Caenorhabditis elegans: one gene and its partner. The protein of the gene in region 1 purifies or fractionates together with the protein of each later gene. This does not show direct contact. Each region holds a gene or a part of one and is shown on either strand. Other genes may lie near its edges.

Region 1 (6,966 bases):
ATAGACGTTTTCTTCATCGTAATTTTTCAGGGATGAGTTATTGCGAGCTTCCATTCTTCCAGCCACTTTCATTGAAGCTAAAATGTATTCAAGTTCTCAAGGAATCTGTCGAAATCGACCCAAGTTACTATAGAATCAAATGCTGCCTTAAAATGCAAGAAGAACTTGAAAAAGAAACTGCCGAAAATTTGTGCACGATAAATATTCAACAATAATAATTTCAAAAAACTAAGTAAACCCCCTTATTAGCATGACACTCCCCCCACCCCCTCTGATAATTATTTTGTATTTATATTCTATAATTCGTAATTATTATTTTTAACTAATAATTCCTTTATTTTTTAAACACATTCCCCCGAGTGATCTGATCACCAAATTTAGAATTTTAATGATTTATTAAACCCTCACCCCTAATTTAATACCGCCTGCAATTTTCTGACGCTTCCTGCTATTTGTAATGATATTACTTTTCATTTTTCCACCTGTTCAATTTTGTCAATACAGACTTATTCGATTCATTTACGGTACACTTGAGCACGATACATTTGAAACAGGCAATAGATTCGATTTAAATTTTGATGAGCGATGAAGAGGAAGGCAACAACGGGAACATAAGCGTGGAGTTGAGAGAAACAGTTGCTAATTTTTGAAAACCCATATTTGGAAAATAAATAATAAATTTGGTTGATGAAAAGCTGCGGATTGGATTTAACACGGACATTGACGGCCTTGGCTCTCTTCCGCGTCTTTAGGAGGATTCATGATAACGATGTTGGCTGAAAAAATTAAAATAAATCACTAAAATGTTTGATAAGAATCTTACGCTGCTCAGGCGTCTCCTCTTGGACAATTCCTGGAAGTGCCGTAGCGATTTTGCGGAAGAGCTGAAAAGGCTTATTTTTACTTTAATTGTCTGAAAATTTTCAGACGAATTTCAAAAATAAGTACCTGTTTGACGTTGTAGCCAGCTTTTGCAGAAGTTTCAATGAACATCACATTCAAATCGCGAGCCTTCTTTTCTCCATCCTCCGTCGAAACTTGTCTGAATTTCTTGTTGTTTGGAATAATTTTAGAGTGCATGTTCGTTACCTTTTATCAGCCAAATCGGTTTTATTTCCGACGAGCACGATAATGACGTCACATCCACGTTCGTTGCGAACATCATCAACCCACTTTGTTGTTTGATGGAAGGAATTGGCATCTGAAAAATTATTAAAATAATTTAAAATCTCAGATTCTAGTAGAACTCACTAGTAATATCATACACGACAACGGCAACACTCGAATCACGAATGTAAGATGGAATCAAAGATCGGAAACGTTCCTGGCCAGCGGTATCCCACAATTGAAGGCGAATCTGACAAGGTAATTAATTTAGTTTCAATTTTCTACATGGTATCTTACGGTTCTGTCTTCAAGATACATAGTCTTGCTGAGAAAGTCAATTCCAATGGTGGCTTGATAGGTGTTGTCAAACGAATCATACATGAATCTGGTGATGATAGAAGTTTTTCCCACTGAATATAAGTTTTTTTGAAACTAAAACGGCCCTCGGAATCACTTACCACTCTGTTCGCCGAGAAAAACGAGCTTAAACTTTTTGAGAGCGTTATTTGTGAAATCAGCCATCTGTAACTGAAATTATTTGTTTGAAGAGGAATTACAAAACAAGAACAAGGTACATCAAACGTTTCTTAAAAAATAATATGAAGGTTTCCAAATTTGGCTGTTTAAAGATTCCAAGAGCAAGAAAATTAAAAATTAAAAAAAAATCGGTGAGAAACACGAAACTTGGCGTCAAATTGCAGAATTCTGCATTTCTGCGTAAAATTTAGAGACCCGAAGGAGACCCGAAGAACTCGGAGGATGTCCAACTGGGGGGATTACCAACTCGGGGGATTGGCCCCGCCCACATAACCGTGGCTTGCAATACGCCCATTTCTGCAACTGCCGCACGGTTTTAAAACTGTATTTTTATCAATAGAGTGAGGATTAACAAGAAAAAATGATTTTAAAACCGTGCGGCAGTTGCAGAAATGGGCGTATTGCAAGCCACGGTTCTGTGGGCGGGGCCAATCCCCCGAGTTGGTAATCCCCCCAATTGGACATCCCCCGAGTTCTTCGGGTCTCAAAACTTAGTGTATTTTAGAGTCGATGCGATTCGTGGGATGAGCTTCGTTCGGAGACACAGGAACGTGAACAAATATATCAAGATTTTAACAATTTTTAGAGCGGAAACTCGAAAAAAAAATAAACATGACAGTCAATAGTTTGTTTGCTTAAAAAGTTCTACTTTTTACTCACGTTTCTCAGTTTTGGAACGAAGCCCCGCCTTTAAATTTCTGAGTTTAAAAGGTACCGCCCCCAAACGTTGGGTCTCGTTAGGTATTGGTAGCAAAACCGTAAGATTTCACTCGGTTTGAATCATTTTTAGTCTTTTTTGTTATGTTTTCATGTTTAAAGATATTTATGCCAAAATAATGTTAATAAAATAATTTTCATTCGGATATTAATTTTATCTCATATCTCATTAATTTCGACATAAAAATAGAAACTCTTAACATGTTAGGCATAACATAGAAAAAGAAAAAAAATTGAAAACGTTTAGTTTACGGTTTTCTACAGTACCTAACGAGACCCAAAATATGTGGGCGGAGCGTTTTAATTTGGCGTTGCAGCACGATTAAACTTTTATTTCAAAACGCAAATTTTTTTCTGTTAGGAATATGAAACTAAAGAAAAAGTGTTTCTTATCAAAAATGCATGATGATTACTCATCGATTGTACACGTATATCAATCGATGCACTGAACATGTTCATGAAAGTTTCCGAATAAACTAATGAATTACAGAAAAATTAACATGTCGAGAACCTAAGTGTTCGAAGTGGTCCACATGAAATGGCACCCCAAAAGGCGGAAAAGTGCGTGCTCTTGGCGCGGTCGAACGCGGAAAGGAGCAGTAAGAACACGATAAGACGAGGAGACTCAGACAACATTTGAATTGTCGCTTCGATTTCAAAAGCACTTGGGTAGGGGGTCTGGGGACAACCGGACGGCTGTTGCTGACCGAGTGGGACAAGAAACAAAGAGAATGTATGTGTGAGAAGACGCAGACAGTGAAAGTTGTGTGGACATCGAGCACATAACCAAGTGATTGTATAGTTTACTGATAACTTGTTGTGAAAGTTTAGTTATATGGGTCAACATTTTGTATCATACGATGCACCATAACTGAAAAGCCACACTCCTGAAATGTGAGTCTCGTTGGTTAAAATCAGAAATTCAACTTTTGTGAATTTTAAACTTTTTTTTTCGTATTTTTTGTTAAGCTATGAATTTTATTGACGAAGTCCTGGAAGAAAATTAATTACCAGGATTCAAGTTGGATGGTTAAATCGCTCAACTCTGAACTGAATTCAATGTGTTTATTGATAAAAAAAGATATTTTATTGCCCGTGTGTGTGTTTGTCGGTGAATGCCCTCTTCGCATAAACTTTATCTTTATCTAAAATCAATTTTGAGCAGTTTTGATTTGGAGCTGTTGAGTATCTCCACAGTGAAACACTCCAGCATAATACGAAGTTATCGATAGATAACCTCTCCACTTTATTCATTCCAAATCAATTTATTAATAAAAAAAGTCAACTCTAATTTAGTCATTTTGTGCATCAATAATATTATACATTTCATCAAATATTCTTCGTCTCCGCACTCTTCCAATAGAAGAGAGTCTAACCTCTGAATCCATTCCACGTAGAATTCTATAAGTTTCCACAAATTCGTCAAGTTTTAGATTTGGATTTGAAAGAAGCCATTCTAAATTACAAGAATCATCATATTCTTTTCTCAATTGAACCAATTGTTCATAATATGGTGCAAGCATTTTCGGGAGTTTTTCCAATCTCTTTTTCTCTGGAAATCTTTCAGTCCAAACTAGAAAGTATAAAGATGAAGTTAATGGATCTGGTTCATATATCCAAGTTGCCAATTCTCCATCATCTCTTTCCAATTCCAATCCCTTCGTACAATCTATTCGGTGCAATCTATTATCCTTTGAGTATAAAAACTTCTTTTCTCGTTGTTTTGGATCCCATTTATGAGTTTTTAGTCCTTCAAAATTTGCAGAAAGAGAATCGATATCATTTGGCCATCCAAATCTGACCATTTCCAGTTTGGAGTTTTTGTTGTTAAGCCAGTTTTCAGCGAATACAGTAAGATCCTTCCATCCGAAATAATGCTCATGAAAGTCCACGGAGCAACATGTTAATTGTAGAAGATGATCTCGAGTCATCCAACGAGCACTTGCCAGATGCAAGTTTTCCACGTGAAGAGCCTGAAAATGGTTAATAGGCTCATGGTTAGGCTTTTCAATGAAACTCGTGTGATTTGAGAAGGTACATCCGAAATAGGTTACTAGAAAAAATTTAGCAAAAGAAAACTACTTTAAACTTGAATTAAAGTAAATCTTAAACTGTTTCAGCCCACTTTTCTGTTTAAAATAATTGCCGAAAAATCGCATTACTTTTCCAAATCTCACCTTGATTTAAAATGTTTTGTGAAGTGTTTTCAACAAATTTTTAAAGACAAAACATCTGAAAAATTTTCGGAGTGAAAAAAGTTTCAGCGTATTTACAAAATTAAAAAAAAATCTAAAATCTTTTTGGCTTTGGCTACTCCTAGACACCCGTAATAATAATAATGTGTGCTGAAACTCTTTCCTTGTTAATATCTAAATATTAGTACGCAATAACTTATTTTTTCAAATCAAAAATTACCTGTAAAATAGGATATTCATCATCAGTTTCCGGTTCCACCCAAAGTTTTCTTCTAATTTTCACTCTTGAGAATATTTTTTCCAATACATTTTGAAGCATAATTGAGCCAAGCAATGTGAGAACATCTATATTTTGTAAATGCTCGTAAGAAAATAAGTTTCGTAAAGTTCTGCAGAATTGAACAGAAAGTCGAATTTCAATAGATGTTGGAAAAATATAAAATAAATGTTTTGAGACTTCTCCAATTGAATCTTCAATATCGTAATGATAGGAGGAAAATTGGAATAAACCAATTTCTCGTTGGGAATATTTTCGGCTGGAATATAAAGTATATGGGTGTTTGAAAAATTTGTTGAGTAATTTTGCTAAGTAAGATTCACAAAAAATTGAACATCTGTTTTTGGCAGGCAGGTAGGCAGGCATGTAAGCGTAAGCAGGTACGCGGTTAATCGGTCAGGCAGGCAGGTATTTTTGTAGGTAAGCACGTGAAACGAGATTGCTTATTTCTGCCTGCCTCTTTCTAAGTGCTTACCTGCGTGCTTACTTGCCTACTTACGCACATGCCTTTCTCCTGTCTTCATGATGCGTAATGTTTCTATTTCAAAAAAATCACTCACCATTTTTCAAATACAATTGCTCCCACAGTTCGTCTTTCTGGCATTTCCTCTTCCACGAGGTCTAACTTGAAATCCCAATAAATCACTTTTTGTTCTTGTTTAAATTGAATTTGAATCGATTGTTGATTATCTTTTCCGAGCGTCAAATAATGTAAATCTGCGGTTATATGAATATCTCGAACAGTTTGAGCCATTCGTTTGGAGCACAGCGATATATCCAATCTAGATATTAAAACTAAGTTATTTGAGTCGGTTCTTTGAGGCTTTCAGTTTCAAACAAAATGTTGTTCTTACAGTATAATATTGGAAAAAAACTCACAAGTCTCCATAGTCGAAAAATTTCAAAATCTTGCAACGCGGCACCAGTGGTAGTTTTGTAATAGGAAACGGACTTGACATGAACTCCATTGAAAACAATGAAACAATGGTGACAGACGAGTGACCAATGGTCTTGATCGATATGCAAATGAACGAGGGTGAAGCCCAGAAGAAGAGTACACAGAGAAATAGAGAGACTCCCCAGTGGTACTAATAGAACGGGTGAGAGACGAGAGAGGATGGACCCCTTTGAGGTCACACACAACTATGACACAAAGTACTAATGATACGTTTAATTGCCTTTTTGACAAGGGTTTGATTATTATCGCGATTGATACAAAAAACTACACAACTAATTTCCAAACTGATTTCACAGAACATAGGATCCGAAACTAACACGTAATCACGGGTAAAGCATCCTTGTGCGACTAATGAAAATCGGCTCAAAATCCGCGGACTGCCATTTGGTGGTTGACCAAATTAAGTTGGTTTTAGCCTTTTTGTTACTATCTTTTTAGTTTATTCTCCGGGAATATTTAAGGCCTGAAAAGTGTCAGAAATTCGAATCTTTCTGATTTTCTTTTTACAGTTCAGCTAACCTAGAAAGTAGTTTAAAAAAGCGGAGTTAATTGAAAGGAATATATGAAAAAAAAATTTATTCAAAATCTAGAAAATGATTACTTTAACATTTCAAAAAATTATATTTCATATGTTATAAATCAATAGTATTGTAAATTTTATCAAATATAGTTCTTCGAAAAGCTTGTCCAGTAGATGGTGATCTGTTCTCTCCATCCATATTTTTCAGTACTTTATAAGTTTCCAAAAACTCTGTATACACCAGATTAGGATTCGATAAAAGTCTTTCCAATGATGATTCATCTGGATAATCACGATTTATCTTTTCGAGCTGTTTGTACAAAGGTCCAAGCGTTTTTGGTAGATTTTCCAGTCTTTTCTTCTCAGGAAACAGTTCTATCCAAACGAGAAAGTACAAAATATGAGTTCTATCTTCTTGTTGTTCAACTACAAATGTTGCAAGCCTTCCATCATTTCTTTCCAACTCAAAACCATCGGAACAATCAATTTGAACTGATTCATTTTTCATTGTGAAAATGTAATTTCGCTCTCTTCTAGTACTATCCCATCGGCTTGTTTTAAGATTTTCAAGTTTAAATTCAACATCAGATTGCCATTGAAAACGAAGATTTTCAACCTTTGAAGACTTGTTATTCATCCACTTTTCTGCAAATGC
Region 2 (6,811 bases), on another chromosome or scaffold:
CTACAAAGCACAAAAATCGTGTGTTTCCAACGCACTCAGACACACTCTATAAATACTGTTCTCGTCATGTCTTGTTGGTATTTTCTTCTTTCCCTGAAATATCGATTCCTGGTCAATCGTACAATTGGGACCATGTTAAGCGGGAAAGACATTGACCGCTAGCACAAATGTTGTCCGGCTCTCTCACAATCAATCTTTCTTCTGTGATGTGTTACGACAACCCACAACCGATTTTTTGATAGCAAAAATGATAAGATGATGATAGCGAGACAGCTCAATTGTTCGTTGTTCTAGAAGTTGTACGTTTTTTTAAATTTATTTTGCATCATTTTGAATTCATTATTTAAAAATGTATAAAATTGTTTAATTAACGGTTCTCGAAATATTTTGCCACTTCACAGCCACGATATCTCACTCAATAAAGCAAATGCAATTTGGGACACGCACTTGTGTTCGTTATTAATATCGAGTCCCCATTGAAAAAACTAGGCCACGCGGCCGTGAAGTACTCTCGGAAAACTACACCATTTTTTATTTTTTTATTCTACTTATATTTTCTCAAATCTCTTACTTTCAATTAATGCTTATAATTAAGACTCACAAAAATAATTTTTAGGTATGACACAAGAAAGTAACTCAAACTTTTTCAACTTCCTTCTTTTCGGGTTTGTGACCGCTATTGCCTTTTATTCGGGTACCCAATTCAACAAATCTAGCGAACAGGAAGAGGTAACTCTTTACATTTTCAGCTGATTGCGCACATATCCATTTACAGCACATCAACCATGCTAACTTGTATTCGGTAAAGAAGTTTGATGATGGAGCAAAAGAATACTCAATAATGTTGATCACCGATTTGGATCATGACAGCAAAGACGGGAAGAAGTGGAAAAGTTTGGTCTCTCGTGGATTTTTGAAGGTGAGAAGGACGGCAAGAAACTAATGCATTATGCTCAGCTTGACCAATATGATTTTTATAAAATGCAACTTGCTTTTTTCGAATCGCTATAGGAAATTTTCAAATTTATATTTCAGGTTTCTGCAGACCACAAGCATGCCGATATTCATTTTGACAAAGACTCGGAGTACTATGTTGACACGTAAGTTTACAAAATGTGTTTTTATAGATTTTTTTGTTTTGACTTCATTACTAAAATCATCATTTTAGAAATATTGCCGCCGGTGGACGCGCTATGGAGTTGTCTGACCTTGCCGTCTTCAATGGTAAACTGTACTCAATTGACGATAGAACAGGTCTTATTTATCAAATTAGTGACAAGAAGGTGAGTGATGAGTGGTTAAACAATGATATTTGTGTAGTGGATTGATTTTTAAAAAATATAATATTGTTTTGAAGGCACTTCCCTGGGTATTACTGAACGATGGGCCAGGAAACGTCGTGAAGGGATTTAAAGGAGAATGGATCACTGTTAAGGATACCGAATTGATTGTTGGAGGATTGGGAAAAGAATGGACGACCACTGACGGAGTTTATGTGAACGATCACCCAATGTGGGTGAAGCATGTCTCTGCTCACGGAGCCGTTCATCACGAAAACTGGAAGGATGTATATATCCGCGTTCGTAGAGCTGCTGGGATCGAATATCCCGGATACATGATTCACGAAGCTGTTCAATGGTCTGCAATTCACAGAAAATGGTTCTTCCTTCCACGTAGAATGTCAAATGAGAAGTATTCTGAGGCGGAGGACGAGAACCGCGGAACAAACGTTCTTGTGATTGGAAATGAAGAGTTGACTGATTTTGAGGTTGTGCGAGTAGGATCGGAGAATAACAAATCCAGAGGGTTTGCTGCTTTCCAATTTGTGCCAAACACTCATCACCAGCTCATCGTTGCCATCAAGTCGGAGGAAAAGGTAAGTAACAGGTTTTATCTACACAATTTTAAAAACAAAATCCGTTAATCTCAATGCTCGGTTTATAAAATTGTATTCCAGGATGGAAAACCAGTAGCAAGTTATGCAAGTGTTTTCGACATTCATGGTAATGTTATTCTTGACGAATATCTTCTTCATGGTCCATACAAATACGAAGGAATTGCATTTGCCTAATCACTTCAATTAATGTATTTTTGTCTCAATTCCCACCTTCCAGTCAGGTCCAAATCTGTGTTCTCGATATTATGTGATTTTTGTCAAATACTATGTAATGGTTATTTAAATAAAATAAATATATAAACATTTTATTCAACATTTTTTGCATGCATAAAGCTGCCAGTGGGTAAAAATATATATAAAAAAATACTCAAGTAAGTGGGAATCAATAAATTATTTAATTTACAAAGTCTACACGGGAAAATAAAATAACATTGGCAATATTTTTCTTAATATGCTGGTTTGAACCGTTTGATTTCGAGCATCACTTGATGAACGTTGACTAACTGGGAACACACGGGATTTTTAGCAAATACGTCATGGGACAGAATCTTTGTGAATCTATTGATATACTGAACGTACTTTGTGAAGATTGTCTGAAATCATCTAGTTAAAACTGAAATTCGGCTCTAGGAAATAAATTTTAACCTGTAAAATGGTGGTTCCCAGGCTGAAGTTAGTGAAAAGTTGTATGCATTCTGAATTAATACTGTCCACTGCAGGTCTCCACTTTGCATTGAAGTTTGCTACCACCGTTCCAACTTTGTCTGAAATTAAAATATTAGAGAATAGAAAATTATATATGACAACTTGCCATTATATCGAACTAAGAGTTGTGTATGACCTTGAACAATCAGAGATTCACACTCGTTGACAAATTTAATCATGTACCCAATATGTGGCTCTAGCATCTCTTCAACAAAATCATCAATACTTTTTTGTTCAAGCTCATGGACAATTGCATAAATCTTTGTATGCTTGCTTTCCTCGTTATCGATAATCGAAAGAATAAGATCGTAATTGTTAATCAGAAAGACGTGCTTATTTTTCTGAGTTTGCTGCATAGCTGACATTCGAGTCAATAGTTGTTCAATAGAGTCTTCACTGTTCTCCAAGACAGCTTCCATCTTTGCACCCATTTCCTTTCCACTTGCTTTTGCTATCATCAAATGTGCACTTGTCAGTTCGGCGTACCGTCGGACTATCTGTAACATCTGAATTTTTTTGATTATAAAAAACAATCAAAAACTTACGAAATGCGGTCTTGCATCAAGTGAACCGCTATGCATCAACTTCTTCAAATCAACAGATTTGACACTTTCGTAGTGTTGAGACATGACCAAATTGAGGCGGGTCCAAAGGAAGCTTGTGACAGTATTCCAATAATCGCTAACTTCTGGTACCTCTCTCTCGGCGAGCACTTCGGTAAACTTGTCACATAGACAAATGCACAGATGAAGACTGATGGCGTCCCAACTAAGGGCGATTTGCTCCTCGCAGCTTTTGAGCACAACTGACATTGCTCGAGCCATAGCCTGAAAGCAATTATAAGCTTTTTTCCGGTAGTGAAAAGGCAAACAACTATTGTAAATGTAACATTACTACGTAATAGATATTAGGTCTTTCCAGGTCCTCGTAACATACCTTGTTATGCAGTTCAATGGCTTCATCATTGCTGACAAGGAAAAAGTCGGTAATAAAGAGGTACTCATGGCTGTAGTGATCGACAAATGCCAGTTGAATAGAACGAAATAGTGCTTCAAATTGATACTGAAAATATAATTTAATTTGGTCCCTACCAGTTCTATTGTAAGGTATACCGATTGATGGTTCTGCGTAGCTGCGTGGGGAACAATCAAGGCTCCTAAAAAGTCGTCAGAGAGAATTTGATGTCGTTGCCCAATCGAAAAAACGGTTGCCTTATTCCGAACAACGTGTTGTTTCGACGAGAAAATTGCGCCTAATCCAGCGGGTTTTGCAAAATCAATACTTCCCAAAGCGTCTTCTTTGGTGGCCACGTCTTTCATCTTAAATAATTACTCTGGTGAATATACTTGAAAAATGTGTCTCAACCTACCGCAAGTTTGAACAGGCGTGTGGCGTATGCTTTGAAATACGTGAAGAACATCTTGCTGATGGTGTCAATGTACTCGTCTTGAAGTTCCTTGGCAGAGATCAAGTCATGGTGCAACAGGAATTCGTAGAAAAATCGGCATTTGAGAAGCTGGTGTTGAAAAACTTGGTAGTTGGACAGAGGTTTACGGAATTGGAACATTTTCTGAAGCAACCATTCCCTCACTTTTACAACCGCCTGAAAAAAAACATTTTTGAAATGTAAACTTTTGTAAAAAAAAAAACACCCAACCTTAAGCTTTAGTCCTTCCAAAATCGGCATAGTGTCGTTTACCGCTACCGCATCTCCATTTCCCCTTTGCAAAATTAAGGTTATTTTGTGGTGTAACTCGTGGAGCGCTTCCAAAAAACCCCTGTCATTTGCATCAGTGTCGTTGATAGTTTTCATCATCGTTTGAGAAACAGCAATATCGTCTACAAATTGGCTCAGCTCGACTCTAACTTTTTGCCGGTTTTCCAGTTCCTGAGAAGATTATAGTACGTTGAAATTGGAAAATTAATTTACTTGATGAATATGATGCGACTGTAGCTGCAAATTTTTCATATCCTGCCCAATTGATCCTAGATTGTCTTGAAAACTGTACAATGTTGCTTGCAAGCGCTAAAAAGTTTAATTAAATAGTCGACTGATTTATATATTGGCAATTTTTACAATATACTTACTTCAAAAACATTATCACAATGCACAAGTTGATTATGGAGTTGAGCCAACTGCTCAGAGTTATCAAGACACTGTTGAACAGAATAACGATGTGCCTCCGATAGCCGCGTGCTGACGTCGTCTGAATTATTGATTTTTCAAATGTTGACATTTAGAGACATACTTTTCGACTCGGTTAGTCCGTCACCAGAAGCAATTGCTTTTTTCACCAAATTCGGATCTGCTTTTCGCAATTGCGATAAACAAAATTCTAGCGACGATATTGTGAAACTACGGTCATTTGCCTCGGATTTTTGCAAGTTGACACGTGTTCGAGGCATTATTTGTGCTGAAATTGTTTCAATAAAAATTTTGATGAATAACTAACGTTAATAAATAAAAAATAGCGATAAACCAAAGAAAAAACAATTGGTAACACGTCGTTAAACGATGCTCCGCTTTTTACACCCCGCGCGGTGTTTAGAATAATGGTGTGCTTGTGTGCGAGGAAGGCGAGGAAAATGCTCGCCAAGGAGGTTATGCAGAACAATTGGAAAAATGAGAATGTGTGGATTTTTGAATTTTTATAGAGAATTTAATTTATCTATTTGGTATATTTTTGACAATTCGCTACGAGAAATCTAAAACACTATTAAATCTTCAAACCCCAACAATATTGAAATTTGGATTTTTGTTTAGTGAAAAAATAAGTGAAAATATGAATTTTTCTGATCAAAGACTTTCATAATAATTGGTGAAAACCTAGTTTTCAGCGCATTAGGCTCGAAATAAAAAATTTCTCAAAACTTTTTGAATCCTTCGATTCAAATATTTCCCGTTTTACAAAAAATTAGACAAATTTCTAAACTATATGGCTTCCTTCATTTTCTTGGAAAAATACACTTGAAAAATACAATGGAACGTGGAGAATCATATATATATTATTATTATGATGAGAAAAATGACTGAAAAAATTTGGAGCAAAATCGGAAGTCTTTCAGACAACCTCTCAAAGATATGCCTTGACAACCGATATGTGCAATTTGGAAGTGAATGAGGTGGAAATCGAGTATAAATATTAAGTGTTATACAGTTGAATAATACAGTTTAATAGTTAAAAAAAAATACTTCAAACAGGAAAGAGATTATCAATATGCTTCGAGTTGATCCTTGTTTTGTTTTTTGACGAAACTGTAGCTCATTTTGCGTTGCTTGGAATCAGAGTCGGCTTCCTGAGGAAGATGCGGTGGCTGGAACTGTATCCTGACGTTGAATGGATTGAAGGGCGGCATTCATCATTTCTTGAACTGGAAAGTTCTGAGATGTGCCTCCTGAACCAACCTTGCTGATTCCTCCGAGAATCTCCATTGGGAACGGGAAGATGATTGTGCTGGTTTTCTCGGAACTGAAATTTTATTTTGTTAGTTAAAAGTTGATAGTGCGCTTCCATTACCTGATAGCATTGAGTGTGTGCAGATATCGAAGCTGCATGGCTCCCTCGCTTTTTGAAATGATGGTGGCGGCTTCAGCAAGAGCGGCAGATGCTCTTAATTCTCCTTCGGCAGCGATAATCTGAAATTAATTGCAATCGAAATTAATAATTATTGGTCCCCCGCATTTTGCTATGCTCATCATGTCGGCTCACCTTTGCTCCAGCATCACGAGTAGCCTCGGCTTCAGCAGCCATAGCACGTTGCATTTGAGATGGAAGACGGACATCGCGAAGCTCGACACGTTCAACCTTGATTCCCCATGGCTCTGTAGCTTCATCGAGCGAGATTTTCATGTCGGCGGAGATTTTCTCACGGTCGGATAGAATTTCTGAAAGGGTATGGGTACCGAGAATTGTACGGAGGGTGGTTTGAGCCAAAAGTTTGGTAGAGTCGGTCGCATTGCCAACTCCGACGACCTAAAAATTCCAAATTAGATTGAACCGTACCAGCTGTTTAGTTTACCGAAGTGATTGGGTCAAACACCTTGAAGTAGACAACTGCGTCAACAGAAACGGTAACCGAATCGCGAGACAGAATCTGAAGAGAGAAAGATTATATCACAGTGAGCAGGTGTGTTGCGCAACATACCTCTTGTGAAGGGACATTGTACGATGCCACACGCAGATCGATATTCAAGAAAGTATCAATACA

What was found. Proteins that work in one complex are often made in the same cells at the same time.
Region 2: the proteins of rab-6.1 (region 1) and vps-52 purify together in Caenorhabditis elegans (affinity purification with western blotting, with the first as the bait; one study listed by BioGRID). This does not show direct contact.

Annotation. Positions count from the first base shown.
Region 1 is NC_003281.10:9,004,321-9,011,286, forward strand, and holds rab-6.1 (Ras-related protein rab-6.1), read right to left. Parts: upstream 1,636-6,966; 5' UTR 1,630-1,635; coding exon 1,566-1,629; intron 1,518-1,565; coding exon 1,405-1,517; intron 1,358-1,404; coding exon 1,252-1,357; intron 1,202-1,251; coding exon 1,090-1,201; intron 1,043-1,089; coding exon 949-1,042; intron 885-948; coding exon 824-884; intron 777-823; coding exon 709-776; 3' UTR 501-708; downstream 1-500. Other genes in the region: zif-1 (Zinc finger-interacting factor 1), read left to right, coding at 31-215; F59B2.8 (uncharacterized protein), read right to left, coding at 3,654-4,334, 4,777-5,092, 5,394-5,615, 5,713-5,801; F59B2.9 (F-box protein), read right to left, coding at 6,424-6,966. UniProt on the Caenorhabditis elegans protein: The small GTPases Rab are key regulators of intracellular membrane trafficking, from the formation of transport vesicles to their fusion with membranes.
Region 2 is NC_003284.9:7,563,528-7,570,338, reverse strand, and holds vps-52 (Vacuolar protein sorting-associated protein 52 homolog), read right to left. Parts: upstream 5,017-6,811; 5' UTR 5,009-5,016; coding exon 4,852-5,008; intron 4,810-4,851; coding exon 4,691-4,809; intron 4,629-4,690; coding exon 4,533-4,628; intron 4,491-4,532; coding exon 4,260-4,490; intron 4,206-4,259; coding exon 3,972-4,205; intron 3,922-3,971; coding exon 3,715-3,921; intron 3,665-3,714; coding exon 3,539-3,664; intron 3,430-3,538; coding exon 3,148-3,429; intron 3,100-3,147; coding exon 2,709-3,099; intron 2,662-2,708; coding exon 2,543-2,661; intron 2,491-2,542; coding exon 2,344-2,490; 3' UTR 2,194-2,343; downstream 1-2,193. Other genes in the region: Apyrase apy-1, read left to right, coding at 619-729, 776-919, 1,036-1,100, 1,169-1,283, 1,358-1,876, 1,958-2,071; sto-1 (Stomatin-1), read right to left, coding at 5,886-6,072, 6,121-6,239, 6,313-6,576, 6,623-6,697, 6,749-6,811. UniProt on the Caenorhabditis elegans protein: Acts as a component of the GARP complex that is involved in retrograde transport from early and late endosomes to the trans-Golgi network (TGN). The GARP complex facilitates tethering as well as SNARE complex assembly at the Golgi.